4 linked regions of the Drosophila melanogaster genome follow. Changing the gene in region 1 together with any one later gene gives a genetic interaction. Each region holds a gene or a part of one and is shown in the gene's direction. Other genes may lie near its edges. The genes, in order: cac, Dab, stj and comt.

Evidence for each region.
Region 2: of cac (region 1) and Dab, changing one enhances a phenotype caused by changing the other (phenotypic enhancement), as found in Drosophila melanogaster (one study listed by BioGRID).
Region 3: of cac (region 1) and stj, changing one suppresses a phenotype caused by changing the other (phenotypic suppression), as found in Drosophila melanogaster (3 studies listed by BioGRID).
Region 4: of cac (region 1) and comt, changing one enhances a phenotype caused by changing the other (phenotypic enhancement), as found in Drosophila melanogaster (one study listed by BioGRID).

Annotation. Positions count from the first base shown.
Region 1 is NC_004354.4:11,980,672-11,988,031, reverse strand, and holds the start of cac (cacophony), read left to right. Parts: upstream 1-2,944; 5' UTR 2,945-3,137; coding exon 3,138-3,355; intron 3,356-4,116; exon of another isoform or gene 4,117-4,196; intron 4,197-6,855; exon of another isoform or gene 6,856-7,269; intron 7,270-7,360. Other genes in the region: gd (gastrulation-defective), read left to right, coding at 346-558, 602-761, 826-982, 1,062-1,613, 1,736-2,249. UniProt on the Drosophila melanogaster protein: Voltage-sensitive calcium channels (VSCC) mediate the entry of calcium ions into excitable cells and are also involved in a variety of calcium-dependent processes, including muscle contraction, neurotransmitter release, gene expression, cell motility, cell division and cell death.
Region 2 is NT_037436.4:16,710,910-16,717,950, forward strand, and holds the start of Dab (disabled), read left to right. Parts: upstream 1-2,750; 5' UTR 2,751-3,302; coding exon 3,303-3,411; intron 3,412-4,531; coding exon 4,532-4,602; intron 4,603-4,663; coding exon 4,664-5,260; intron 5,261-5,321; coding exon 5,322-5,928; intron 5,929-6,697; coding exon 6,698-6,931; intron 6,932-7,041. Other genes in the region: lasp, read right to left, coding at 34-102. UniProt on the Drosophila melanogaster protein: Together with Abl, involved in embryonic neural development. May have a role in eye development. Acts as an adapter protein for SH2-domain containing proteins during sevenless (sev) signaling.
Region 3 is NT_033778.4:13,802,996-13,810,099, forward strand, and holds the start of stj (straightjacket), read left to right. Parts: upstream 1-3,189; 5' UTR 3,190-3,607; coding exon 3,608-3,723; intron 3,724-3,801; coding exon 3,802-3,883; intron 3,884-4,736; coding exon 4,737-4,841; intron 4,842-4,903; coding exon 4,904-5,180; intron 5,181-6,279; coding exon 6,280-6,674; intron 6,675-6,918; coding exon 6,919-7,104. Other genes in the region: Cpr50Cb (cuticular protein 50Cb), read left to right, coding at 630-746, 1,368-1,460, 1,843-2,139.
Region 4 is NC_004354.4:13,257,216-13,265,377, forward strand, and holds comt (comatose), read left to right. Parts: upstream 1-1,805; 5' UTR 1,806-2,030; coding exon 2,031-2,039; intron 2,040-2,120; coding exon 2,121-2,209; intron 2,210-2,287; coding exon 2,288-2,506; intron 2,507-2,579; coding exon 2,580-4,208; intron 4,209-4,289; coding exon 4,290-4,448; intron 4,449-4,516; coding exon 4,517-4,649; 3' UTR 4,650-5,273; downstream 5,274-8,162. Other genes in the region: CG15742 (uncharacterized protein), read right to left, coding at 409-1,020; HDAC4 (histone deacetylase 4), read right to left, coding at 7,767-7,821, 7,915-8,048, 8,118-8,162. UniProt on the Drosophila melanogaster protein: Required for vesicle-mediated transport. Catalyzes the fusion of transport vesicles within the Golgi cisternae. Is also required for transport from the endoplasmic reticulum to the Golgi stack.

The DNA of each region.
Region 1 (7,360 bases):
TTTTATAAAAAAAAGACAACAATAAACTTGGAAATTATAAAAATATTCCTTTTAGTTCTAACAGTGGATCCAGTAAATGTTTCGTAGAATCCATATTTGTGGGATATAATTAATTTGTAAAGTTTTTTGAAATTTGAACTTGCACGGAATTGAGAATTTAAAGGATCAATTTCCCCTCTCTCATTTTAATTAACAGGGGTTACTTTCTTGGTCTGGCAACTCTGTTGGTGGATAAAATGCACACAGTGTTCCCGGACTGTTAAAGCTTCGATCGAAATTGCGGCATTGTTTACGTTTGTTTTGAGTGAAAAGCATTTTCATCCCGGGCATTCCCAGACACTAGCGATGAGGCTGCACCTGGCGGCGATCCTGATCCTCTGCATCGAGCACGTAACCAAGGCAGTCGCCCAGGGAATGCCGATCAGTCCGTGCCCCAAGGTGTTTCAGTACCGCTTCGACGGCAGCGAATGGTTCGGCCTGATGGCCGTGCGCAGTCCGGATGGCCACCAGCCGCTCCACATACGAGTTACGCTCTCGATGCGTGGCAAGCCCACCACGGTAAGTGGTATATTGTCATCCAGATGTTACCTAATCCCCTTAGTACACACAGAACTATCTGGGCGAAATCGAGCTACTCACACGCGGCAAGTTTACCCACAATGCACCGGTGCTGTATAAGATCCGCTTTCCCAAACATCACTTCCCGCCCAAACTGCTCCTCATGTCAGCCAACAATCATGTGATCTGCTTCGGATCCGGCGGTGCGTATCCACGGAACTTGGGTAGCAAACGATTTAATCCATGACTTGTTTGCCCGCACCACAGAGCACAGCATCTTCATGACCCAAATCCAGTTGGAGCACATTAGGAAGTTGTCCTTTATACCGGATAAGAAGAGCTCCCTGCTGCTAGATCCCGAGGAGGAGGAGGTGAGAAAAACCGACGACAAGCCGCCCAGTACGCCGCACATCCAGTTCAAGAAGTATGCATCCGGATTTTGGTCGGTTAAAACACACACACGATCGTGACATTCATTCGTTACTTAATGTCCGCTTTTGTAGAAAACCCTTTGCCCAGGCGCCCAAGGAGATTTGCGGACGCATCGACAGGGATCTGGACTTTCACTTGTCCCAAAGAACGGAATCACTTCATGTCGCAATCGGTGAACCAAAGAGCTCCGATGGCATCACATCGCCAGTTTTTGTCGATGACGATGAAGACGATGTCCTGGAGCATCAGTTTGTGGACGAATCAGAAGCAGAAGCGATAGAAAGCGATAGCGCCGATAGCCTGCCATCGATCACCAGGGGATCGTGGCCTTGGCTAGCGGCCATCTATGTGAACAACCTGACCTCCCTGGACTTTCAGTGCGGCGGTTCGCTTGTCTCGGCACGCGTTGTAATCAGCTCGGCGCACTGCTTCAAGTTGTTCAACAAGCGCTACACATCCAACGAGGTGCTCGTCTTTCTGGGCCGCCACAATCTGAAGAACTGGAACGAGGAGGGATCTCTGGCGGCCCCCGTCGATGGCATTTACATTCATCCCGACTTTAACAGTCAGCTGAGCAGCTACGATGCGGATATCGCAGTGATTATACTCAAGGACGAAGTTCGGTGGGTGCCAATATGCCTAAAGCTTACATATTCAAGATTTAGATTCATATCTAAACCGCGATGTGAAATCGAATATGAAGATCATTTATTATATTGACAGTATACCATTATTTTCAACGCAGATTTAACACCTTTATTCGACCCGCTTGCCTGTGGTCTGGTTCCAGCAAAACGGAGTACATTGTGGGCGAGCGGGGCATCGTCATCGGCTGGAGCTTTGACAGAACGAACAGGACGCGGGATCAGAAGCTGTCGTCGGAGCTACCGGGCAAGAAGTCCACCGATGCCAGTGCACCCAAGGTAGTAAAGGCTCCCATTGTCGGCAATGCCGAATGCTTTCGAGCCAATGCCCACTTTCGCAGCCTATCCTCAAACCGAACGTTTTGCGCCGGCATCCAGGCGGAGGAACGAGATACGCATCAGAGCGGGGCGAGCATTTACACCGGTATATCGGGGGCCGGACTTTTCATCCGCCGGAACAATCGCTGGATGCTGCGTGGCACAGTATCAGCGGCCCTGCCCGCCGTAGAGACACCGGATGCGGAATCTAGCCATAAGCTTTGCTGTAAGAATCAGTACATTATATATGCCGACGTGGCCAAGTTTCTGGACTGGATCACGGCCTTTGTAATTTGAATCACATCCGAAATGTGTATGGGAACGCATTTCTAAGTGAGCGCTGTGATAATAGCCCCTTGGGCATGGCGATGGGCAAAAGTTACTCGGAGTAATTAGCGGTTATCGGTTTTTTCTTTTTTTTTTTTTGCTAGTTTCATTACGAAAACTTCTGATTATGGCATTTCAGTTTTATTTTTATCTAAGACAGTAGGGCAATTCAAATAATAAATTATGGCACGGGAAAGCCAAAAAGGAATTTTCCCATAGAATCGCTGCGCTTTTAGATCTCCACCATAATATTAACATTAAAAATCTCGAAATTTGCAATGTTTAAATTCCTCTGACCACATATAGAAAACGTGTATGTTGAAAGAATCACAGGTATGTTTGATATCGAAATTAATTGTAATACAGTAACGTTTACCATGCCTTTGTTATCAGTGTGTTGTTGGCGCTCGTGAACAAAGGAAGCTGCTAATATGCCGGAGTGGGCGGCCTGGCCCGTCTGAGCGGCGTTCACCCATGGACACCTGGACACCCTAATTACCAGCGGCAGACACTGTACTGCGCAAATGCTGACTACTATCAAGCACGTCATCGCACGTCATCAGCCGCAATCGTCGTCATCGCCATCTGGGCCGTTATCTATCTTGCTGGGTTGTTGGGGCATCGACAGCAGTCGTAGCCATCGACTATCAGTTCCGTCCGGACCGTGGCAGCTGGTGCATCACACCTGGGGCTCTGGGCCCGTCGTCTACGGACATTCGCAATCGTTGAAGATCCCCAAACAAGTGCAACGCATTGTATTGTGAACGTGCCCGATAGTTGGTAGTGAATATATTACAGAAATGGCAATATTTGGAGTACATTTCGCGTATTGCAAAGTTCGATTCATCGATTCCCAGAATGCTGGGCGGAGTGGGAGCTCGTCGCCGAAGGGGCTCATCTCCTATGGCGCGATTGACCATTAGCAACATCAACGGTCTGGATGACAATATTGCCATCATCGGCGATGGCGTCATCCGGCGGAGCACGCACTACGGCTCGCAAGGGTCTAACAAAAGGCGCCGGGCTCCGGAAAGTTTTGCTCTTGTCCAGACGCGACCGAATCTAGGCGACCTAATGTGAGTACCACTACCAATTTAAATATAAATTATTTAAACTTAACATTATTTTAAAAGATCAATTGATATTTAGAAAAGTATTGAAAATTGGTAAAAATTCATTATTATTAAAGATAGTATGCAAAGGTAATTGACGAGGGTTATTGAAATGTACAGAGATAAAATTAAGTCTGAAATAGAGTAAAATATGTTGTTTGTTTTATATATTAATTAATTAGGTCAAGTATGAGAGCGCCTTTGATCATTTGTAATTCGGTTAAAGCCGGGTTTTCAAATAACCGATATCTTGATGCAAAAGTTTTTACTACAAGGGGTTGAAAGTATTCTTAAAGCTTAAAGCTTTATCAACAATTGTGGCAGTAGTAAATCAATTACTTAAATCAATTAAAAAAAAAACTCTTAGAATGGGTAAGTAGCTTAAACTTCGTCGCTTCGCTTTTTTTTTAAACTTTAGCAGTATGATTTAAGCCCGGATTTTAAAACCGCGATTTCTCGAAAGTTCGATAGTTTTGTTCCCAAGGGGTGAAGAGCAAGCGGAGCTTAAAGCTCAATCGACGACTGTAACGGTCCTAGGAGCGGGTTTCCTTGGAGGACACGCATGCGCTCTCCTCCGCACTGGCTGGCCAGTGTGTCCACCTCCGATTGTCCGATTGAGCTTGAACTGAAGCTTGGACCAGAGCTTTCGGGCGGATGCAGAGCGCAGGGCTGGTAGATTTTTTTCCCCATATTTTTGCCCTTTGTGCGTGTGTTTGGACCCTGGCGATGTGGTAGTATGTGATACAAAGTCGCCGAGTTGAAGTCTTGCGTTTTGTTGAGTTTTTCGTCCAACTGGTGAGACAAAGTCGGTGGTGACAGCTCCCGTAGAAGCGGTTTTTGTTTTTTATTTTTAACTCGGGACCCAGTCAATTTAACAGCAAATGTGCGACAACTAAAATGTGGCTGAATACAGAAGCCTGGCGTTAAAGAAATCAAGTGAAAATCACTCGCAATGCGGGGTTAAAAGTGCTGTGAAAATTCCACATTTCGAATGTTGTGTGCGCTGGCATCCGAATTCGGGTCGAGTGGTGAAAATAACACTACAAACATCCAAACCAAGAACAAGAAATATAGTCGGAAAAGCGTGAAAATCGTGAAAAATCGTGAAAAACCCAATGGCAAAACGTCGAATTGGCGACAATGGCGGCGAGGACAGCAAAAATAGCAAGAAAAGATATCGGGAAACCAAGTGAAAAGCATTATTCGGGCTTACTGAAGCCAATAAACGACCTCTGATTGTGCTCCTCCAGGCAACCAGATCTAATTTTTATTTTTAGCCACATTCATATACATATATATATGCGTTCGTTTCAAATCCCAATTACCGAAGCTATCCTTAAAAACCAGTTGTAAAAGTTAAAGTTAACAAGCCCCACGAACGCACCACACACACACCAACACACCCGCACGAATATACATATCCATATACATATACATATACATATACATATATATGTATAGCCATATATATATACATAGTTGTTGGGATTGGGTCAGCGGGTCGGTAGCACAACGGGCGGAATGTTGCGTCGGTGGTGCTATATATTGCGGTGGATGGAAGTGGAAGTGGATGTGGCAAGAGGCAAGTGGAAAAGCAAAGGCGAAAGGAAAAGCTAAAGCCAAAGCTAAAGCTGAAGGAGAAGGAAAAGGAGATATGGAGTTTTCGGGTGTTTTTTAGCCTATCGGTATATCGTTTATTTTTGTGACGTGTACACGCACTTTCGAGGTGAATGAATTGCGGCGATGTAGCAGGAAGCACCCCCCAAATTAATATTTAAATTAACTATATTCTCAGTCCACACAAATATTTACTAGTCGTAAATTCCCCAACCCACACACACACATACAAATCTACACATGTATATGTTTTCCATACCGGAAACGAATTCTAATGATGGTTCTCCTCTCTTCACGGAAGTGAAAAATTTGTTTGTCTCTGTTCTTTTAACAATGCTCATATGAATACTCGTATGGGGAATTGAATGCGAGCATATGAACAAATATTGTGGTAGTCGTGTGCTCTGTAACTAAACTTATAACGACATATCAAATTTCAGTTAGTTGGTTCTTTAAGCCCAATTAAAAGTGTAACAGTTTCCAGAAAAAAAGAAATAACAAAAAGCGTTAGTTTAGAGGGGGCAACGATGGCAAGTGTGTCATTGTTGCTGTTTATTTTTGGCAATTACAGGTTCGTTGGTCTCACTGTGGCCCGATTGTAGTTAGACACACAGATATATATAGCTTCTGCCCATTCCAAAAACCCAAAATCGTTCCGAAAGACATCGTCAACATAAAAAAAAAAAAAATTTCAGACAACTGTGCCTGGTGACGTCACTAGGGAAAATAGAGCTGGAACTATACAATTGCAATAAATAACAAGAATTGCTTTTAAAGAAAAGACATTGCTTTGCGCAATTGAAAATGAACTATTCAAAATAGGGCAATAGTTAATTTAAATGCAAATGCAACCAGATTTACTGGGCCCTTAAAAGTAGGCAAGCGATTTGTGGTTGCGATGTTATCGTTATCGGTGTGACCCAGTGATTGTTGAAACCAAAGAGAAAGAGTGAGAGAGAGAGGGGGAGAGAGCTTCTGCCGGTACGTGTGTATATGTGTGTGTGTGTGGATGGAATGGAGAGAGTTGAAATTTGCAAATGCCAATTCTTGTTATCAGCCCCGTAAATCAAAACATTTGATTGATCTGCAAATAACTGTAAAGATAAAACCTTGTTCGTAGTTTCACTGCCTTATGGGCTAGTTTGTCAATTCAAGAATACTCCGTAAAAGGTAAACAAGTTTTCAGAATTCTTCCAGTCGGAATTCAGAATCTCACCGTTTCACAACTCACCACAGCCCGTGTATGTGTGTGTGCGAGTGTATTGAGCTTTTTTTTTTTTTGGTGTTCCATACACATGCATTTGTATGTGTGCCAGTCTCTCAGCCTCTGACTTTTTCATCCCCTAACGTTTTTCATTCATGGCGTGTTCCAGTAATGGAATTTTATACCAATAACCGAAATAACCACATCTATCTGCAGACCGTGTCCATAGCCATTGCCAGTCCGAAATGTTGTGGATCAGCTTCTCTACAGATACACCACATATTGGATACAAAAATAACACCAGCCATGCACTTGGCATGCACCTGAGTAACCACATTCCCATACCCATGCCCATGCCCATTCCCATCCAATCCATATGTATGTATATGTTCGTGCGCGAGTGTATGAGCATGTTTTCAATAGGTCATGAACTGAATTGACCCGAGCGCATCATAATTATCGGTTGGCAAAATAAGTAGCACAACATCGAAACACTCAAAGCTAACGCAAAGCCAAGCGAATGAAACAGAGATTCCGGAATCTGACCAGTTTCACTTCAAATCGTAATCAAAATCGAATCGAATCGAGTGTGTGTGTGTGTGTGTGATTTGCATCTAATCGAATTTCGTATTTCCAAATTCAGTTCAAGTGCAATAATAACACGGTGGTAAAGCGTGGAATAGCTAATAAATAATAATAAAAGACAACGATTCAAAAAGCGATAAATACAGCAAAGGAATAATAATAATAAAGTGTACAAAAAACAGCCGAGCCGAAATCAACGATCAAGGGATTCAGGACGAGGACGCGAGTTAAGGCAGTTAAGGAATCGCAGCCGGAATCCTTTAGCCTCCAGCCTCCATCCTAAACAACCGCCACATCCTCCAGTAATCACCAGCAACAGCCATCGGACTCGCGAGCTAAATGTCCAGTTGCCGCTATCGTTCCATACGGACGGCGTGTCACTCCCGACAAATGCGTATTGTGGTTGACCTTGTTTAATATAATTATGGCCGAGCGGTCGTTACAAAAGTATCAGAAATTGGATACAGTGACGGTACGTGCCACCTTTATCTAATTAAAAAATATTATGAATTCAGAATTCCAACAGCTTGATGTCCTGAATCGGGACTGACTTTCCCTTCCCT
Region 2 (7,041 bases), on another chromosome or scaffold:
ATAGTCTACATATGCATAGGGAATGTAACTCACTTTGTCCAGACACTTAAGCTCCTCGATGGGGTAAACCACCTTTTGGCAACGGGCACAGGTTTTATTCATCTTGCCGCTTTTTCCTCCTTTGTTTGTTGCTTCTGCGACTGTGTGTGTATGTATAAGCCTTTTATTTACACAACAGGATATTACTGTTAACTTTGATTATTTTCCCCGTTTTGACGACACTTTTGCGCCCACGATTTGCGCACGAATTTACGCTCCTCTTGGCTTAATTTTGCATATTTTCTGTGATCTGCGAGTCGAAGAACCGATCGGATCTGAATAGGAACTACGGGAATGTATTTGGTGTGTGTGTAGGTATGAGCCGAGAATTTGATTTACACTATTCACAAAAACATCTAATAACTGGTTTGCTTTGTTGTTGTTGATGTATAAAACAACTGGCGATCGATCGCATAGACTTTTTGTTACCAATTGTGATCCAATTTACACTTTTCTCTTCGTTTTATTAATTTTCAGCTGTCGCGACTGCGCTGCAGGTAAAAATAAGCGACGCGCGCAGTGGAAAAAGAGGAAGAACGACTGGCGTAGGCGTCCGTAATGAATTAATTCCGTTATTTTTGATAACACCGCACAGAGCTCGTAATCTACGATTTGAGTGTTAATTTTTAAGGTGAGTTTGATGGAGGCGCGACACAAACGAAATAACGCGACAATCCGCGATAAATATTCCGTTCCGTTCGAATAGAGTGACCGCAGCAGACTGCGAGCAAAGTGACCGTTGCAAGGTTGTGGTGCAATATTTTTCGATGTCTTGCTATGTTTTTGAGTTCTCTTTTCGGCCGTAATGGCGCCACTGTTTTGTGGAGAAATTGCTTTGCAGTGTGACCATCTATTCGATTGTAGAAAATACCAAGAAAATTTAAATCATCATTTAAAAAAGGATCTTCAACGGTTATACGAGTTTTAACGACATAATATCTTGATAGCTAATCGAACTTTAAGGTACCCTTGGTATAAAATCTTTACATTTTTTTTTTCTATCAAAGCTTAACAGAGAAATTTACTATTATAGTTTCAATTTATGTCAAACCTTTGTATAAACATATGTAATTGTGTGTACCGCAAGTACGAGCAATTACCTATCGGTTGTCGTCGATAGACCGATAGCCTATGTACCGGCTGGCGTACAGGGTGCCCGCGGCACTTGACCCACCACCCTCGAATCCTTGGAGTTTTACTATCGAATTTTCGGTGTGTGTGCATATCCTGCTGCTCCCAGGGCGTAGGACCCAAATTAAACTACAAACCCATTCAAATTGGGTTAAATTAATGGCCAATAACATGCAAAGCAGGAAGAACGTAAAAATCAGCTTGTAAATATTTGCCAAAAGAGTCGAATTGGTTTTTTCGCTCAGCCAAAATCACGAGTGTGTCACCCACTTCTTTGTGCTTCACTTTTTTTCCTGGCTGCCAGACAAAGAAAGCTGCGCGTGTTGTGCAATATTAAGACGGGAAAGGATCAAAAACAACGAATAACAGTTAATTGAAGTTAGATAGCTTACCGCTGCATAATGAAAGGCGTAGCTACATCCCTTTCCCACCCCCCACAACGCCTTAAAGTAGGCAAAGTGGAAGTAAACACGCACACAGAGGCCCCCGTTGGAAAATCGATAATCCGTGCCGTGTCCGTGTGAGCGCGTGCGAGTGTGAGTGAGACAAATGCCGGTGTGTTCTATCGACCGACTGGCACAATAACAACAACAACAAAACGCTGACTGTCAGGAAGTTGGGGAGTGCGAAAGAGACGGAAGACGCAAAGAGCGAAACAAGTGTAAACAAATCACAAAAGGCAATTAGCAATAAAACAACGAAGGAAGTCCAATAAATCATAAATAAATAAAGCTCTTTAAGGCTCAATCATTATTCGCAACATTATACGCGGCCAAAGGAATTACTACACGAATGCCAATCAGCTTTTTCTGAGCAAAATGCAGACGCTGCGCAAGAAAACGAGTCCTTGTAAATGTAAGTAATACAAATAACACCTTAAAACGGAATTTTTTCATCTATAAAGTCTTTTTAAAGTAATTCTTCTTGTGGGAAGAAATTTTTTTTCTTGAAATTTTTGCTAGTGAGGAATGATGAAATTATCAACTAAAAACGCAAGCCATTCACATTGATTTAAATTGCAGTGTTTTATGTCAACAACGAATTTATTTGGTATTGTCAATTGAATTAGGGTATATTATGTATTTTGAACACAGGCATCCCTACTTCGAAGTTCTAAAGTAATATTTCTGAAATCAGTAAAAGAAAAACTGTCCTAAATTGTTTCTCTTTAAAGATACTTTGCCCTTTTAACAGCACTGCATATCAAATTACACTCATACGCCATGTTGTAGAGACATGATAGACCTTTTCTAGGTGGTAAATATTTTGTCAGTCAACTTTTCTACTTTCCTTCCTGCATCTCCCTCGCACTTCTATTATCTGCGTAATTCGACCATAGCGTTCTCCTTTGTTTACTTAAAAAGCTAATCATACTTATGAGCAGGGACAAAGTAAATTCCTCACCATTAAGTAAAACTAAACGTTTTAGGTTTATTTCTGGCCGAAGCTAGCTTTTCAAATTCCGATATATCCTATTGATCGATCCCTCGATTCAATGCTAGACCCGGCTTATCGATAAGCGTCTCAGACAGCATCCGCCAATCGAATAGCAGCTGCTGCGCCGGCGTCGCAGGTGTTGCAGTTTTCCCAAAAAAGATCAACAATGGCCGAGAGAGCTGCTCGTTTTCTGTACTGTATTTTGCGCCACAAAAATCACTAAATAATAGAGTGAAATCTATGTGTACACACGAGTGCCTCAAAGAGTGTGTGTGTGTGTTTTTGTTTATTATTTCAATTGAACAAACTGCGACAATCCAGTCCAGTCGAAAAAGAGAGTCACCGTGAGAGCATTCGAATCGTTTCCACGCTCTCATTCGCTTTTATTCATTCCATGATCGCGCATCGTTCTCCGCTAGAATTTAATTAAATCTATAGCGTCGCGAAAAATCGTTGTGGAATTTATGTATTGTTTGTCCCCCATTGTGTGCCCCCTCCAGCACCAACACCCTCTCGTCATCGTCCGCGTCCCAATGGAAATGTCAACACACACACACACAACAGAGAGGCCCGGAATGCTACACTGATTCTGTTGACACTTCGGTGACCAGAGTTCCAGAATTCCAGAGTTTTTCCAGCCAGCGTTTTCCCAATGAGCAGGAGCAGTACCCACTGAGACTTCGGCCGGGCGAAACATGGTCAAGTCCCTGGTGGCCAAGTTGTCCACAGCCTCCTCCAATCTCTCGTTGGCCAGCACCTTTGGCGGCGGCAGCGGCGCGGCAGAGGAAACGAATTACGCAAAACGTTAGCGAAAACAAACTAAGCAAATACACAAATAACAAACAAACGAACACAGTGGCCCCTCCGCAGTGAGAAAGGGCAAACAAAACCAAGATACAAACATATGCGAAGATCACAGTGAAAATTTTTTTTGATATTGTGCTGATAAGACGAAGCTATATATAAAAAATCAATATTGGTCCTATCACTATAGCAAATTGAGATTTACTAATACAATAAATGCTGATATTCAAAGAATCGAGTTCTTTATAAAAAAATCTGAAGATAAAGAAGATGATCAGAAGAAGTTTTTCAGTGTACATACATGTTTAAAAATCTTTTAAATTCTACTTAGACGTTCAAAACTGTTTTAGCATTCAGTATAAAATTGTAATAAAGATGCTTCGGAAGGCAAAGAAATAATAAAACTGTTTTTAAATCATAGTTCCCAGCGGAAGGAATGAAAAGTGATGCGAAATATTGAATAGAACAATGAAAGTCTTCTTGATCTTGAATGAAGATTTTTAAAATTTCAAATTTGATATACCACAATAAAAAATATATAATCCATATAGATTTTGCATTCCATCAAAGCATCATTTTAAATATTGGATGATCCAACGAGGAACACAAGTGTTCATTCAAGCACATAATTACTCGAAAAATTTGAAAAATGAATCATTCAAAATATTTTAATGGGGATTCGGTCCAATAAACCCAGATTTGTGCACAATCCATAGAGTTTTGTCGAAATGGATTATACTTCTTTTGATAAACTAATGAGTAATTAGTTTGCTTGCCATTTCATCTTATATTGCAAATATTAAAGCATTTTCTTTTTAATTTCGGACTAGATGGTTTAATTATATTATAGTTCCGTTTCCTAAATACTCCTTTTGTAACTTTTTTATGTTTAAATTTTTTGAAATGTTGCCAAAATTTGTAACAGTGCTAAATAAAAACGTTCATAAATGTGGGTTCTCTCAAAATAAATCAGCCACACCCCAAATCCCACGGCTTCCAAAACTGACGAGTGACCACTACACTCTGTAAAACATTTTCGCCAAACCAAAATTATCCGAATACACACCTTAACAAACACAAAGACTCATTTTGGCATTCGATTCTTGGGCTCATTTTCCAGATCGCAATGATCCGGGACGCTTTTTCGGCGATGGCGTTCAGTTCAAGGCAAAGCTCATCGGCATTCTGGAGGTAAGAGTTTACTTTTTGGATAAATTTCAGTATCTAACATTGTGATCTTTCGAAATTTAAGGTGGGCGAGGCCCGAGGTGATCGGATGTGCCAGGAGGCGCTGCAAGATCTCAAAATGGCCATCCGGGCGGCTGGAGAGCACAAGCAGCGGATAACCATCCATGTGACCATCGATGGTCTGCGGCTGAGGGATGAGAAAACGGGTGACTCCCTGTACCATCATCCGGTGCATAAGATCTCCTTCATCGCGCAGGATATGACTGACTCGAGGGCCTTTGGCTATATCTTCGGATCGCCGGACAGTGGTCACCGGTTCTTCGGCATCAAGACGGACAAGGCGGCCAGCCAGGTGGTGCTGGCCATGCGCGATCTCTTCCAGGTAGTTTTCGAGCTAAAGAAAAAGGAGATTGAGATGGCGCGCCAGCAGATCCAGGGTAAGTCCCTGCACGACCATTCCAGCCAGCTGGCCTCCCTGTCGTCGCTGAAGTCCTCCGGCCTGGGTGGCATGGGTCTGGGCCACTCGGATTTGGCCAGCGGAGGAATCTCATCCGGCCATGCCCTCACCCTGCTGGGCAGTAGTCTTAGCACCACGAATGGAACGAGCAGGCTGGGCGTGAGTCTTGACGTGGCCAAGGCATCCGGATCGGCGGCCAAAGAGGTTCGTTACCCAGTCATATGCTATTTCAAACTATTTTTCATTACAACACTATATTTTATAGGTCTCTCCGGAATCCGTGGCCGATCTTGTGGACTTGGAGCAGGAGCTTACCTCGCTTCAGCGGGGAATCAGTCAGATGGAACGGATAACGCCAAACGAGCCGACCACCAGTAGCACTGGTGGTGCTGGCCATCCATCTCTAGCGAAATCAGCCAGCGAGGACGATCCTTTCGGAGACTCGTTTATCTATGTGCCCTCGTATAGCATACTGCCACCGCCACCTGATTCCGGACGCAACAGGCACAAGCCGCCCAACAAAACACCTGATGCGGTGACCAGTTTGGATGCAATGCTTTCGCCACCTCCTGGTACAAGTAGCTCCCACGGCTCAGCCTCCGCTGGACTACAGGCTGCAGATAACGACGATGACAACTGGCTGCAGGAACTGGACCAACAAAATGATGTCTTCGACACGTCCAAAGTGGTGAGCAGCAGTGGATTGGGTTCGGTTTTGGCCATGGCTCCGCTGGCCTCCAGCGAATCCACGGCCACTCCCACCCAACAACTGACGGAGGTTGCTGCAGGATCTGGACCTCTGGCTGATCTGGATATTGGACTAAGTACGGCCTTGGGAAATGAGGAACAGACCTCCACCATTTTGTCATTGGGTGAGTTGAAAAGAGCATCGCTCCTCCTACTTTTCCACATCATCGAAATTGTCGCGTCTTGTGTGAAATTTGATCGCTTTGTCATCTCCATTGAAGCGATAAAAGAGCTGTCTGTGATCGTGTGGGGAGTGGTCAGTGGAACTAGATGTGTCCGCCCGGCAAGGGAACAATTGGTAGTCTTCTTGGGTCAAATTAATTGAACTGAATGGAATCTTCGGGGGTAAAACATTTAACAAAATTTAGATTTCTTTGTAATTATACAAAACCTGTGGAATAATAATTAGTAAAGCTAAACAAATGTAAATTATACACTGAATGTGTAAAGAAACTCTTAAAAATCTAAACATATATTTTGTATAGTTTTGAAAACGCCTTCATTCTTTATTTTTTTTTTATGTGACTTATATTCTTATTATTCTCCAATCTTATTTTGTTTATTAAACATTTTAGGTTTGTCCCCTCTTTACGTTACTTTTTTAATCTTAGTTTATTTGTGGTTTTGGTTAGTAACGTGCTCATCCTATATTCAAAGCTACTTACAACAAATTAACTTATATGTCTTTTAAATAGGGATCTTCGTTTGTGGATTTGTTGTCTTCGGAACTTACCGAAGATATAAGCTTTCTTCTTCCATTTCTTCTGAGCTCTTTGAGTTTTTCTCCTGTTTTTGATTTTGTGCCAAATGCGAATTCGGAGTCTCCGCTTGGGAGCTGCTCTCATTGCTTGTTATCCCTGTCGTTTTCCTGATCCCTTCTGTTCCATTGTTCAGATGCGTTCACGGATTTGGATCCGCTAGGCACAGGACGCACCAGGCCGTATGTCGATAAGAAATACTTCTTCCAAGAGCTGAAGAATCCGCCGAAGAAGCTGCTCAAGGAGCTCAGCTCCGGCAGCCAGGCGGGTCTCGGTCTGGGTCTCTCTCTGGGTCAGTTGGATGGCCTCTTTCCGGAGGATAGCACCACCATCTCCACAACCACCACCACAGCTACTAACATCACCGCAGGTACTAACCAATCGCAATTCCAACACCATTATTGCACAGAGAAAAAAATCATTAACAACTGAAATGCATATTCTTTATTACGATAAACGAGTTGTGCATCATTTTTGGCG
Region 3 (7,104 bases), on another chromosome or scaffold:
AACGAGACATTAGATGACAGGCAAAAGCCCCGCGGATTGGCCTGGCCAAGTGGTTATGGCAACTGGTTGACCGGCGGCTGTCGGCCAACTGATGGATGGCTGCAATCTGACATGTGGATGGGTTGACGAGCTCCCGTCACCACCAACCAACTAACGTCCAACATCGTTGGCCACCATGTGCATGTGTCAATTAGCCGTGTTTAAAGAGCGGAATCGCGGAATCGCAGAATCGGCGGCAGATCGCCACTAACCTCCGCCATTTGCTGCCCTTTTACGGGCGATGAGCAAACGCCTTTCGGGCACGTTCTAAATAATTTGCCGCCTCTTTGGCTGAGGCTTCTGCTGCTGATGCACCTGCTACGCCACGGCTGAATGTCAGTCGCGATCTTATCGGAGCTTCTACATCCATTTGCAACCGTTCACTTTTCAGTTCGCCCTCTTAATTTGACCTTTAAGTCACTGATATAATGTCGCACCAAATGCCCGGCTCTTACACCGTGAAAAAAAGTTAGATATATGAAATTGAATAGAAAATTACTTCACACGAAAACTTAAACTTAATGTTAATCCAGACATAGTTTCTTCTATGTTCAGCTTACTAAATTAAATTCCATTCGATTGTCTTGCAGAGCTTATCCCTCGCTGCCATCAGTGCCTATGCCTACGCCCAGATCGCCCCTGGCTCCAACGCGTACCTCCCGCCCACCAAGAATGGCTACGACTACTCGGAACCCAAGACCCCATTCGTGAGTATTGCTCCCATCTGAATTATCTAGCTAAGTATGTGGGGGTATGTCGATATATGTGTGTATGGTGGCATGTGCCTATCTGGCCGAATGGCCTGGCCAACCGCCTCAAATTGAATCCCAGTCAACGGACTAATTACGGCCATCATTCTGGGAGCAGTTGCAGTCACAGGCAGTGGCAGAGGCAGCCAATTCCAGTTGGATCCAGTCGAGATTTGTCGCCGCATTTATCACCCGGAGTGCTGTGGCTCAACTCAATAAATGCGGCACGTCATGCTGCTGAATGTCGGCCCAAAATGATGGCAACATTTCGAATTGGTCGGTCGGTGAAGGGCTTTGGCTTTGGCAGTTGAAAATGAATGGAAGTTAACCTTTCGAGATCCAACCGAACCAACCGAACGACAACCGATCGTTGCGAAAATATCACAATGCAGGTGAACTTCCATAACGCGAAGTTCAGCAGTTCAAGTTTTCCGAAGCTAACAATAAATATTTGGCATCACTAAGACAGTGTAATTCACTTCGACAATGAGTAATGAGCAGTATTTACACCCCATTTGGAATTTTTAGCTATTTCATTTTTGACTTTTCCATTTGCTAAATGGTCTGTAACTCCCACAGAAGCCCGGCCCACCTGGAAGACCAGCGGCACCTGGACCCCGGCCACCCGCACCTCCTGGCACTCCCCGCAACATACCTGGCCAGCCAGGCGATGTGAGTATATCTTAATCATCATAAACCGCAATCATCAGCCATTGAAAAGATCAGAGATCAGTGGTTAATGAACCATTGTAATGCGTTTGCCATAGATGCATTTTTATTCCAATTTGATGTTCAACATAATGTTCACTCAGCCAACGAGTGTAGGATCAAAGATCAGTTTGTCATCGCAGAGATACATCTTTATTATGATTGCCAGAAATAATCGTTATGAAGATACAGATACAATTAAGATTTGAGATTATGTTGATTTATTTCTCAACAAAAACTGTGCTTGTTAAATTAGAACTGACTTCTGTAATTATAATTCGTAATTGTATTTTTAGTTTTTTATATTTTTTTACTGATCATGCCTTATCCATTATCCCAAATGCAGGACCATGTCCACGTGCCCGGCATGCCGTACGACTTCGAGTACGCCGTTCAGGATCCGGAGACCGCCAACGATTATGCGCACAAGGCGTCCAGTGATGGTGACGTGGTGACCGGCGAGTACCGCGTCCAGATGCCCGACGGAAGGACCCAGATCGTCCGCTACACCGCCGACTGGAAGACGGGCTACCACGCGGACGTGAGCTACGAGGGCGAGGCCACGTACCCGCAGGGACCACAGCCAGGAGCTCGTGGCGGCGGCGGCGGTGGTGCTGGTGGTGCCGGCGGGTACAAGTACTAGGCGTGGGTGGTGCTTCGACTGGGTCAGCTGGGGTCACATATGTATCTTGCGAAACGTGTAAGCCTTACGATATACCAATAAAAAGTATTGATAAACTAAAGCGACCACTGCTATTTGATTTCCGGAACTACGGTCAAGTCTGGAGCTTTACGATTGTTGGAATTCCAATTAGGTACATATGTATAAGGCGCGTTTACACTCGCTTATCCAGCAGCCAAAAAAACTGGAATCGGAAATTGTTTGTGAGAATTGAGTATGATAAGAAGAATTTATCGATAATTAGTCAAAACTTGTGAACTACGACCACTCTACGAATACAGAAAGCACATTCTTCCAGAACCACGACAGCGTGTATATTTAAAGTTAAACAAAATCACCAACGCGAATTGCATTCTACGATATTCAAACGGAACAGGAGTGATAAAGCTTTAACTTAAGCTCTATCCTAAGCAGTAAAACAAAAGTTTCAAGCACAATCTTTTGTTCCGTCCGGTCTGTGAAAAAAAAGAATTAATCTCAACTTTTATTTCTTATCTTGAAATGTAAGCATATGCCGAAGTCGTACAATACATATGTACATTCAGCAGTAATTCATATTATATTGTATATTAGTATAAATCTGAATATTCTTTAAACGCCACCTGGCGGTTACTTTGGCAAGTGAGTTTGAATCCAACTTTTGGGCAAAGTAGCCCGGGTTCCTAGTGTGCTATGTCCTCCCAGCTGGAAAGCTTCACCTGCGGCCAACTGTCACCATTCGCCAGCTGGTGCAACAGATGCTCGGCCAGCTGGAAGGACACGCACGTCAATCTGGTGGAGGCGCAGGCGCGTTGGCAGGTAAACAAACACCTGTAGCACTCGCGGCGAGGTAAACAAGTGCAGGGCGCAGATGCGCCAAATGTCAGGGCAAGCGCACTGGGTGGAAAGAAGAGTGCGGCAAATGGCCAAAAGCGAGAGACAAGGGTTGTCCCTTTTCGGCTAAGGTATGTTGGGCAAAAGAGCTTTAAGCTGGCCCAGAAACGTTAAAAGAAACGTCAAAACGGCCACGACAGTGTAGAGAGAAAAGTTTTCGCTGGCCAACAACACACACACACGGAAAAGTGCTAGGTCGCGCGATAAAACTGTGGAAAATTAATTTAGAAAATTGGAAAAACTTAGCAAAATACAATGTACAGTGCTTGAGTGACGGCGAGTATTGAGTAGCAACTGAAGGTATCCCCAGTGAAGACGCGGGTGGTATGCTACCGGATGGCCAGGGCAGGTGGCCAAAACCGAGCTAACGGGATATGTGGTGCAAACGTGGTGCGTGCGTGTTGCCTGTGAGTGTGTGAATGTGTGTGTGTGCAGGTACAAAGTAGGCTAAGAAAATCGCAGAGCCTGGTATTTATGTCGCGCTCCCGCTGGATCGACCACCATCATCAGCAGTTACTAGATCATTGGACACCGAGGATAGCGCTGCTCAATCATCATGGCCTGGTCCCGTCTCCTGGCCTGGTGGCGCCTCTGCTTGGGCCTGCTCTCCGTTCTGGTCTGTTTGGCACCGTGCGTCAATCTGCAGCCAGCCGAGAACATCAACTACAATCTGTGAGTTTTTCCGGACATTGGTCATTTTCCCTGAATATTCCGACTATCGAGACTAACGCCACCATTTTCCACATCCAGCGTTCATTCGTGGGCCGACAAATTGGGCATGGAGCTGTTTCATCTGGGCGATTTCATCACCAGGCGCAAGGAGGTGCAAGAGGTGAGCTACCGAGAGCATATTATTGATTTTTCCGCCGCTCCGTTTTCCTCCGTTTTCCCCACTCCCCCGAAATTTTCCATGCGCCCCCCGCTATTTATGTGCGCGTGTGTGTGTTTGTTTTCGGTTCTGTTTTTGTGCGCTCCTTGTTGACGTCTCTCTGAGGCTGAGACTTCGGCTCCGAATTTGGGTTAAAGGCCGCCCGAGCGGCAATTATAAAAATTGTAAAGCACCAGCCAGATGGGAAACTGTGCGGCAGTGGGTCGAAGAGCCAATGCTCTCGAAAAATCTATTTAGTTAGCTATTAATTATCCACTTGATTTCTAAATATAAACAATGGTGTTCATTAAAGCAGGGAAGTTTTAATGGGGTTAGTAGGTCAGTCAAGTATTTATTATTTAGTTTTGTTTTTTATTAACTAGCTATGCCTTCATAAATAAACCAATTGCAATAGTTTAGTTATTATATAGATTTTTTGATATTTAATAGATGTTTCTGAGGTAGGGTATCCAAACGACTATGCTTAGCCATCTGCAAATCCCCTTCACCCCATATGAGGTCAGTTTGCTGTCCGGCACAGCTGGTTATTTATTTTTAGGCATCGCAATTGGATTTACAAATTAAATGTTTCTGCCCCACGATTTGTAGCCGCACTTGTGCCAACTGCCTATAGTATTCCATATGCATGTGAATGGGTTTGTCTATAGGCCCTCGGGGGCCTCTAAGCTTGCTTAGCGGGGTGGTTCCGCCTATAATTTCTGGCCACGTACTTATGACATGGCAATGGGTTGGTGAAATAGAACCATTTTTCATTTAACATTCGGTTAATTCATATATGTACTTGGTTTTCCAACAGAGTTTCAAGGATGCAAAGGTCGTTTCGCGCAACGGCGCTTCTATTGTCGATTCGATGGCCAAGGAAATCGAAATGATGATGGACCTAAAAGTCAGTGCAGTGAGGGTAAGTAAATCCACGCACTAATAGACAAGGAAATCCTCTTAAAAAACCGATATCATCCCTAGCGAATCATGGACACGGCTGAGAACACGGCGTTGTCGCATCAGAACGACATGGCGGACAAGATGTTCTCCTATTATAGTGCCAAGGAGATGCTGGAGCCCGGCGATCCAGTCCCGCCCATTCCCACACCGGCTCCCGACATGGACAAGGATATAGGCGAGCCGCTGATCTACGTCCAGCCGAAGGTGGTGGTGTTGGAACCGCGTCCGGAATTCCACAATACTCCGGTCAACTTTAGCGTCAGTTCGGTCCACGTGCCAGTCAATGTGTTCGATCGAGGTTTGGAATGATTATCATCGTTGTAATCCGTATATCTCTTTTCTCCGCTCTACACCTATCTCTCTCTCTCTCTGTATTTCTATCTCTCTTTTGCTCTGTGTAATTGTAACTGAAATTGCCGCCTGTCTGTGTTGTTCCTATTCAACGACCCTGTTTTTAAATGCTATGCGATCGAGTTTGGGGATATTGAATTGCGTTCATATTTGAAATCGCGAATAAGATAAAAATTTGAGATTTTTCTGAAATAATCTTGAAAACTATTGTGTTGATCATCACCAGATCATAAAAACTTATTGTATTATTATTATTTTTATTATTTTGTATCCTTACGATAAAAGATCCTTGGATTATACGAAAGCTCCAGACTCGATCATCAGGGTTGCATTCAATGCTTTCAAATCAAACACAAGCTTAAAAACGAAACACTCTTTGTCTCTGTCTAGCTGCCAAAAAAGTAGAGCCTTGAAACCGCCTCTAGCTAGCTAGCTCGCTCTCTATCTATCTCGCTCCTTAGCTTTCTGCTAGATCGCTTGACCCTAAAATTTGTATTTTTTTTGTGTATGCCATATAAGCCTTATATTGTAATGTGAAAATTATGATATGAAGCCGTAAGCTGCGCCTCCCTAATCATTTTTTTCCGATTTCCAAACTGCTTGCGTCAATGCGTGCGAGGAACGCGTGCACGCGTCAAGCAGCGCATTGCGCCGCCCGGCCCACCCACCGTACCTAATGGTCCGCCGAACTTGACCTTGGCGATCCTCCCCGGCCGATGGCGGTGCAATGCGAACGTTGACGACGCGCTCGCGTTTTACGCCAGGGAATGCTCAAAATATGCTATACAAAAATATTTTAAAGCGAATGCTCCGACACACGCGGAATGCTTGCCAAAGACCGTATAACACCCAACTTGTGCCACCAGAACACAAACCTAAATACAAAAGAAAAAAAATAGAGCCCGTAAAACTAAAGCTAGGATTAAGTGCTCGTCAGCAGACGAGAAGAACTAATCGTGTTTCTTGCAAAATTCTTTCCGTTTCTTTCGACACAACCAAAAACACAAAATCCATAACACAACTAACACTCGATTACATTGACACAGCACCGGATGTGATAAAAGCAATTCAGTGGTCGGAGAATTTGGATCAGATATTCCGTGACAATTACAAAAACGATCCGACATTGTCGTGGCAATTCTTTGGCAGTTCGACTGGCTTTATGCGTCAATTCCCTGCATCGAAGTGGCGAAAGGACGTACCGGTCGATCTATACGATTGCCGACTACGCTCCTGGTACATGGAGGCGGCGACGAGTCCGAAGGATATTGTTATCCTGATGGATGGATCCGGTTCAATGTTGGGACAGAGGCTAGATATCGCAAAGCATGTTGTCAATACGATACTCGATACATTAGGTACAAATGACTTTGTGAACATCTTCACCTTTGATAAGGAAGTGAGCCCAGTCGTCCCATGTTTCGAAGACACACTGATTCAAGTATATATCGATTCTGTTTATGTTTATCAAATTTCTCTTCATTTAACGCATATTTGATTTCTTCTATCCCCAAAAAACAAAAATTAATAACGAACATCACCACCAAATCCGAAATCTCAAAACAACAACAACACACTCAATTGATGCCACCGAATACGAATACAAAACACCAATCAACCAATCAATCGAAATCCCAAAAAAAAAAAAACAAAAAAACAACACACCCGATACTCACCATATCCAGGCCAATCTGGGCAACATACGCGAACTGAAAGAAGGGATTGAACTGTTTAGACCCAAATCGATCGCCAATTATACCGCTGCATTGACAAAGGCATTCGAGCTATTGGAAGAGACCAAGTTGAGTTCGCGCGGGGCGCAGTGCAATCAGGCGATCATGATCATTGGCGACGGGGCGCCGGAGAACAAT
Region 4 (8,162 bases), 1.3 Mb from region 1:
GCTACCATCGAACATGGTTCGAACATGGTTCGAACATACATGTGCGCTGTGCAAGCAGTGGTCAAACATATAGCAAGCAGACGCACAAGCAGTTCCACTACACTAGAGGGCTGGATAACATCATTCTCTTTGTTTGCAATTCGGGCAGCGCGGAGGTAAGTCAAAGTTTGTGTTTTGTTGTTGATATGTTATTTATTAATCTCGACATGCGTTGCACTCGATTAATTTAAAGTTAATATAGAAGTCATACGACATCAGAATCACTATGACAGTAGAACGTCTCAGTCCAGGTAGATGCTATCCAAAGAAATGTATATATATCCAAAAGCAAGGTAAAATATCACAGCAGCATCTTTAGTGACCATATTGATATACAAACAAATTCGACCAAATTCTAATTTGCTGACCTTAGCCGAAACGCCAAGTGCGCATATGGTTGATAACTTGATAACTTTTCGAAATGCGCATGCGGGCATCTATTGCAGGAGGATATGGGAGTGAAATGTCCCGAGCTAAACGGCGCTCCAACTGCTCATTGCGGCCGTTGAGCAAATTCTGCCATATCTGGGCCCGCTTATCCAACTGTTGAGCCTGCACGGCTATCCGTCCATAGGAAACGGGCTCATACGCCAGCTTCAGTTGATCGAGCAGATTGGTGAGCTCTTCAATGGCCTGCTGCAGTTTTCTCATGGCACTGTCATGCATGATGAACGTCTCATCGGCTTTGCTGCCGTATTGACATATATATTTCATCCTGACCCAATTGGACGACGCGATACAATTCTTGCGGCGCAATATTTGCATCTTTAGCATGTCCATAAGTATTTCGGCCAGATCGATGGGTGGCAACTCGGCGGGTATCACCAAGCGGATGGCAAAATAATTGGGCCTACTGTACTTGTCCAGGAAGGTGCTAATCACGCCGTCTTGGGCATTACGCACCGAGCGATAGGGCGGCTTAATGCCGCGAACTGCGCCCAGCAAGCAGTGGTCGATCTTATTGCATCGAACTTTTGACATCGAACCGCGGTTTGTCGTGTAAAAAGCGTGTTAGAAATGTGTTTTATTATACAAGTAAGCTGCAATGGCCGTGTTTGTTATCTAGAAACTTTCTCGGAATGGTAACATACGTGTGTACAGAAAGTTAGCGATTGGCATCGTCACTCACCGTCGTAGTACTGGTAAATTGATTTTGCTTCGTCGAACAGCCCGGCAGAAAAATTTTAAAAAATTATAAAATTTTGCTGTGTAAAAGTAAGAACGAGAACAAAATTTTGTTGTGCTCCCAAAAAAGTAAAAGTACTTAATTATCCGAATCAGGTAGCTACACTTAACTCAATGACTACTGGACGCTTAAATACGTAAACTTTCGTCTCTAAATTTCCTCGCACACTAGATTTGAATTTTCGTTCAGTCGGATATTATCGATAAATCGATTATTGTGGACCACGAATTTTCTGGTATAAATGCGGTAGCAATTTAAGACTTCTCTTACCGGAAAATCTTAAAAAATTAAATGATTACATTTTTTGTTAGTAAAAGCCCGGCGAGAATTTATTAATATTTATACATATACAACTTTTATATTAAAGAGCTCTCGAGCACTCTACCAATTTAAAAAATCAACCGCTTGCTTTATAAATTTAATTATTATTATTAAAAAAAAAAATCATGCAAATACGAGTCGTTAGTTATTAAACTTGGCAAAAGAAACGTATATTTAAAAACCAAATCCCATATGGATGTACTAACAAGTTCGCCAGCCCTGGATTCCTAGGCGCATGTGCTGAATAAAATTTTAGATCACATCTTCCTTGAAAGTTCAGAAAGGATATAGTTCACAATTCGTTCAAAAATTAATATATATATATATAGTTATGCTGTTTCAGTGATACTGTAAACAAATATCAAACGTTAATTCGCACACAAAGCTGCGTTTTCTGACCATTAAAGTACTTCCATTGGATTATAATTATTGATTTTTGTCAAATTCTAAACAACCCCGTGAAAATCAGCAAGAATCTAAAGAAATGGCTTATGTGAGTTTGAAATACCAATATTTATAGGCACTACGGCACTATTTTTGACTAGTTACTAAAGATTTATAATGGTTTCCGTAGATTTTGAAGGCCACCAAATGTCCCACGGACGAGCTTTCGCTGACCAATCGGGCTATAGTGAATGTTGGTGATTTTCCGGAGGAAATCAAGTATGTGGTCCTAACGGGCATAAAAGTCCATTGTTTGTATATATATATATATATAATTCCCACTTGCATCGCTTGCAGATATGCGGACATATCGCCGGCTCCGGGTCAGCACTTCATCTTTGCGCTGGAGAAAACGGTGGAGGTGCCCAGCGGCTATGTTGGCTTCTCCCTGGTCCAACGAAAGTGGGCCATGGTGTCCATTAATCAGGAACTGGAGGTTCGTCCCTATCGCTTTGATGCCAGCTCGGATGTCATCACTTGTGTGTCCTTTGAGACGGACTTTCTGCAGAAGAAGACGTGAGTGCATATATATAGTATACGGCGTCAAGGATATTATGTAATATCGATTGTTATCTACCATCCTATGCAGTGTCTCCCAGGAACCCTATGACTCCGATCAAATGGCCAAGGAGTTCATCATGCAATTCGCCGGAATGGCACTCACCGTTGGCCAATCACTGGTCTTCAATTTCAAGGACAAGAAACTTCTCGGCCTGGCCGTCAAATCCCTAGAGGCCATCGATCCCAAGAGCTTGGGCGAGGGCAAGGACACCGCGATGCGTAATGTCCGCTTCGGCCGCATCCTTGGCAACACCGTGGTGCAGTTCGAGAAGGCCGAGAACAGTTCGCTGAATCTGCAGGGCAAGAGCAAGGGCAAGGTGGTCCGCCAGTCCATTATAAACCCGGATTGGGACTTTGGCAAAATGGGCATCGGTGGCCTGGACAAGGAATTCAATTCGATATTTCGACGAGCCTTCGCATCCCGTGTCTTCCCACCGGAACTGGTCGAGCAGCTGGGCTGCAAGCATGTCAAGGGCATTCTACTTTATGGTCCACCGGGTACGGGCAAAACTCTGATGGCTCGCCAAATCGGAACTATGTTAAACGCCCGGGAGCCGAAAATCGTCAACGGTCCACAGATCCTGGACAAGTACGTGGGCGAATCGGAGGCCAATGTCCGGCGTCTGTTTGCCGAGGCGGAGGAGGAGGAGAAACGCCTGGGTCCCAACAGTGGACTACATATCATCATCTTCGACGAGATCGATGCCATTTGCAAGCAGCGTGGCTCCGTGGCCGGAAATAGTGGTGTCCACGACACCGTCGTCAATCAGTTGCTAACCAAAATCGATGGCGTTGATCAGCTGAACAACATTCTCGTTATCGGCATGACCAATCGCAGGGACATGATCGATGAGGCTTTGCTGCGACCGGGTCGCCTCGAGGTCCAAATGGAGATCAGCCTGCCCAACGAGCAGGGTCGCGTCCAGATTCTCAATATCCACACCAAGCGGATGCGTGAATTCAACAAGATTAACGACGATGTGGACAACAAGGAGATCGCTGCGCTGACCAAGAATTTCAGCGGTGCCGAGCTGGAGGGTTTGGTCCGTGCCGCCCAGTCGAGTGCCATGAACCGACTGATCAAGGCCGATGCCAAGGTGACCGTTGATCCTGAGGCCATGGAAAAGTTAAAGGTCAATCGAGATGATTTCCTGCACTCGCTGGAGCATGACATTAAGCCGGCATTCGGTACGGCCCAGGAGATTCTCGACAATATGCTGGCCCGCGGTGTTATCAACTGGGGAGCACCGGTTAGCAATCTCCTCGAGGACGGCATGCTGTATGTGCAGCAGGCCAAGGCTCCAGAATCTAGCGGCTTGGTCTCCGTACTCGTGGCCGGAGCACCCAACTCTGGCAAGACGGCACTGGCCGCTCAGCTTGCCAAGATGTCAGACTTTCCGTTCGTGAAGGTCTGCTCGCCAGAGGACATGGTCGGCTACACTGAATCGGCCAAGTGCCTGCACATTCGTAAGATCTTCGACGACGCGTATCGTTCCATGCTTAGCTGCATTGTGGTGGACAATGTGGAGCGTCTGCTGGACTACGGATCGATTGGGCCGCGATATTCCAATATGACGCTACAGGCACTGCTGGTGCTGCTCAAGAAACAGCCGCCAAAGGGCCGCAAATTGCTCATATTGTGCACATCTAGCAGGAGGTGTGTGTGTGTTGAGATTCGGGATTTCCCTGTCGAGATTACCCAGTACTTACTACTCCTACTTGTTTTATTTTTTTTTAGGGAGGTCCTGGAAGAGATGGAGATGCTGACGGCCTTCACCTCGGTGCTCCACGTGCCCAATCTTTCCAAGCCCGACCACGTTCTGGCCGTGCTGGAGAACACGGATATCTTTAGCAAGGGCGAAATCCAGGCGATTGGCAAGAAGATGGCCGGAAAACGGTAAGCTATATGATTCCAAAGAAAAAGTCCTATAAATATTTACTAATTTACCTATCCATTTCGACCAGCGTGTTTATTGGCATCAAGAAGCTGCTGGGTCTCATTGACATGGCTAGGCAAACGGAGCAATCACAGCGGGCCATAAAGTTCCTGTCCAAGATGGAAGAGGAGGGTGGTCTCGACATGGTGGCGCGGCAGTAAGGCATCTTAAACTGCATGTGCCCAAATGGAGTCTCAATTATTAGCTTCTAAGTGCTAAGGACGGGCGATGAATAGCGATGAAACCAAATCAGAATCTCAATGTACACGTACATATACACCGCTAAACATATACACAGATATATAGAGTTATATATATATATACGATCCAGGCTTCGCGATGTTTGTTCGGTCCCAAAGCCCAGATAAAAATCACAATCCACATCCCGGAGGAGTTTCGTGTGCTTCTGAGTTCCCCCACAGAGCTCAATCAAATCAGACAGATATGTGAGACCCGTGACCTGAAGATGATGGCATATAAATGACATAATATATGGCTTAAATGGACAGATACTCAATTACATTTATAAATAATTAACACGCGTAGCCACTAACTCGTTAAAGGCATGATAATCTTTCTCGTTACCTTTTAATTTTAGGACTTTTGCTTCAGTAAATTCTCAATAGGAAACGAAAAAACGGGAGAAAACACCAAAGTATTTGCCTTTGGGCATTGTGAACGTTGTTTATCGGTAACTAAACTAATTAAATATTTATTAAATCAAATATTGTTAACCGCCAATGTTATAATTATATCTTGAATAAAGTAAAACAAACTTAAATTCCAATTTTAACTAGCTCGCTTTTTTGCAGTTAAAAAAAAAGAAATATTTTTTAAAGTCGGGAGTATTCTTATTCATGTTTAAAAACCTAGTAATCCCATTCAGCTTGCAACCACAGATTACCATTCTGTATAAATTACTTTGAATTCTGAATTCAAATGAAACAGCAATGAAAATAGAACAAACACATTTTGAAAATTCTCTTGACGATTTCTTTGTTTTATTTCGTTTAGAAAAAGCGACACACAATATTACTCTTAATTGTTTCTTGTTTCTCGTTCCTTGGACTTATTTGTGCAACAATAAACAAAATATAAATATTTGATTTCGTTTTTATTTTGCTAAAACCGTTATTTAACTATTTCTCAGCTTACGGAATTATTCATTATTTTTTCCTTTTTTTTGCAGTGCGCAACAATAATATTTCATCTTGTTAGTAGAATCCTCTTCATAATTCGTGTTTTGGTAAAAAAAAAACAAATTCAGGAAAGATAAAAAAAGGTAAGGTAAGGGGAGATCGCCAATTTGCCAAATTATAAATAGAAAATTAAAATAAAAGCACAGATTTAACACAGAGCGTATTGTAACGCTTTTGGAACCCAAGAAAAATTCGTATATATATATTCCTAAGTAACAGCAATTACGTGGCTTGCATACGAAACAGCTTATGTTCAAAAGTATGTTTTTCAAAAAATCTGCTGTATTGAAAAGAGAAAACAGGTGAATAATAAGAAAATAAAAATGGCAAGGGCATATGCTTCGCTTAGATTAATAGTTACATTTGTGATTTCATTTTTTTTTAAGGATAGTTTTTAGTTTCTGTTTCGTTTTGTTAACAATTGTTTCATCCAGTTGGAGCCAATCGGTCCATCTCTCGTTGTGCTTATTTTTCTTGTTTCTCCTCCTCCTCCTCCTTCTTTCCATCATCCTTTTCACTTGCTATATATTTTTGATCCTTGTCTGTTGCTCCTTCTTCTTTCGTTATTGAGGTGCTCCTTTACAGTTAGGTAGCGAGTTAGAGAGAGACGGCTATAGACAGCTAAAGGTACACGAGTACAAATACAGTTACAGCGGTTTTACAGTTAACGGTTAGCGATTGAACGGTTATTTCAGAATTTTTCCCGATTCACGCCTCTCGGGTCCTGCCCAGGACGTATATATGTTTGTGTGTGTATGTGTGTGTGTGAGCGTGGATATTTTCTTTGATTTTGTATTTTATTGTTGCTTTTTTTTTATTAAAATTGTTCTCTTTGTTTTTTGTGTTTTATTTACATATAATAATAGTTTTACTTCATTTCAGACATTTGTTGAACATCGTTATCGTTACACACATGGTGAATACACATGTGCATTTATATAGTTATATATATAAAGGGTTATTATTGTAACAGTTATTAGGTATACATACGTATATAAGATCTCGGCAACATTTAACAACAAATTTTCTCTTATTCGTTTTAGTTTCTGTTTTGTGTGGCGATTTTCATTTTCTCACATTTATTGCACAATATATATTTTTTTTGTATATATATATATATATATGTATATATATAGAATTCTTTAAATAATAGCATGTTGTACTTGAAACTTGCACTAAACTATAAATTGTACAAAAAGATTTCTCAGTTTTTTCGCTTTTCATCCAACTAGTTAGTTGTTAAGTTTTTTTTTTCTCATATCTTATTATCAACTAAAGCATTCTACATAACATGTAATCAACTCCCCACTCGATCTCTGTAAGCGATGGCGGATAAGTGGGCGTGGTGGGGTCTAGACTTGGGAACTTTGAGGTTGAACCTTACCTTATAAAAAAAAACACATGCTTCTTGCACCCGACCTCTTTAAACATTATCTTTATAGCTTACTGATGATGTTCACCAGTACGTTAGTGGTTCTATATCCTTTTGACACACTTACTTAAATAATAATAATAAGATACATTGAGTTGCGTGTGTTTGTGTGTGCGTTAAAATACCTCTGCTCTCACCTTAAAACAAAAAAAAAAAATCTCGATGACTTCTACAACTAAATTCTGAGCTTAAGCTACATATATATTCATATATATATATATTCATATAAAATCTCCTTTTTTTTTGAAAGGATTCTTTTCTAATTATTATAATTATTTCTTCTTTTGGAGGCACAGCCACCATTTTGAACTTTAGGCCCTGTTCTGCTTCTTTTAGACATGTTCCCCTATATTTTCGATGTTTCTCTTCTTTTTGTTTTTTTTGGCGGGGCGGGGAATTGGGATGCTATAATCGATCGAGTGAGAGAGATAGATGTGGCTATAGACGATCAATGACAACGACAACAATTGCAAGCGAGCGCCACAACAACAACAGCAACAACAATCAATTCAACTACAACAAATAACTAAATGTGCATTGAGCAGCTTGCGGCCACGCCCCCTCCTGCCATTCCCACTCTACCAGGTCCACAAAAACCTCGCCACGCCCACCGCCTCCTCTTCCGCAATATACGTCTGCATCGCCTTCTATTTGGTTTCATCCTGATCCATCGGCTCCTCGGAATCATCGCGGGATAGAGTTCTGTAAATTACAAATATACAGGTTAGTTACTCATTCCTATCATCAAAGTATCCACAAAAAACCATGGGCTAATGAACTTGACCATAAACCCACCTGTGCATCGACTGCATCGAGAGGCCAGCCATGGCGTTGATCGTCTCGGACTCGTCGTGCTCCACCTTGAGCGTCTCCAGCGCAGACAAGCCAACCGTGTGCTCCAGCATCCTCACGCAGGGCCAATGCGTTTGCTACAAAAACCAAAGGAAACCAAAAGTTAGCTAGGCGACCAGTGGAACATGCTAAGTTCTCCCATTTACCTGTATGGCTATCGTCTTCTGGAGCGTATTGATGGCATTCTGGCA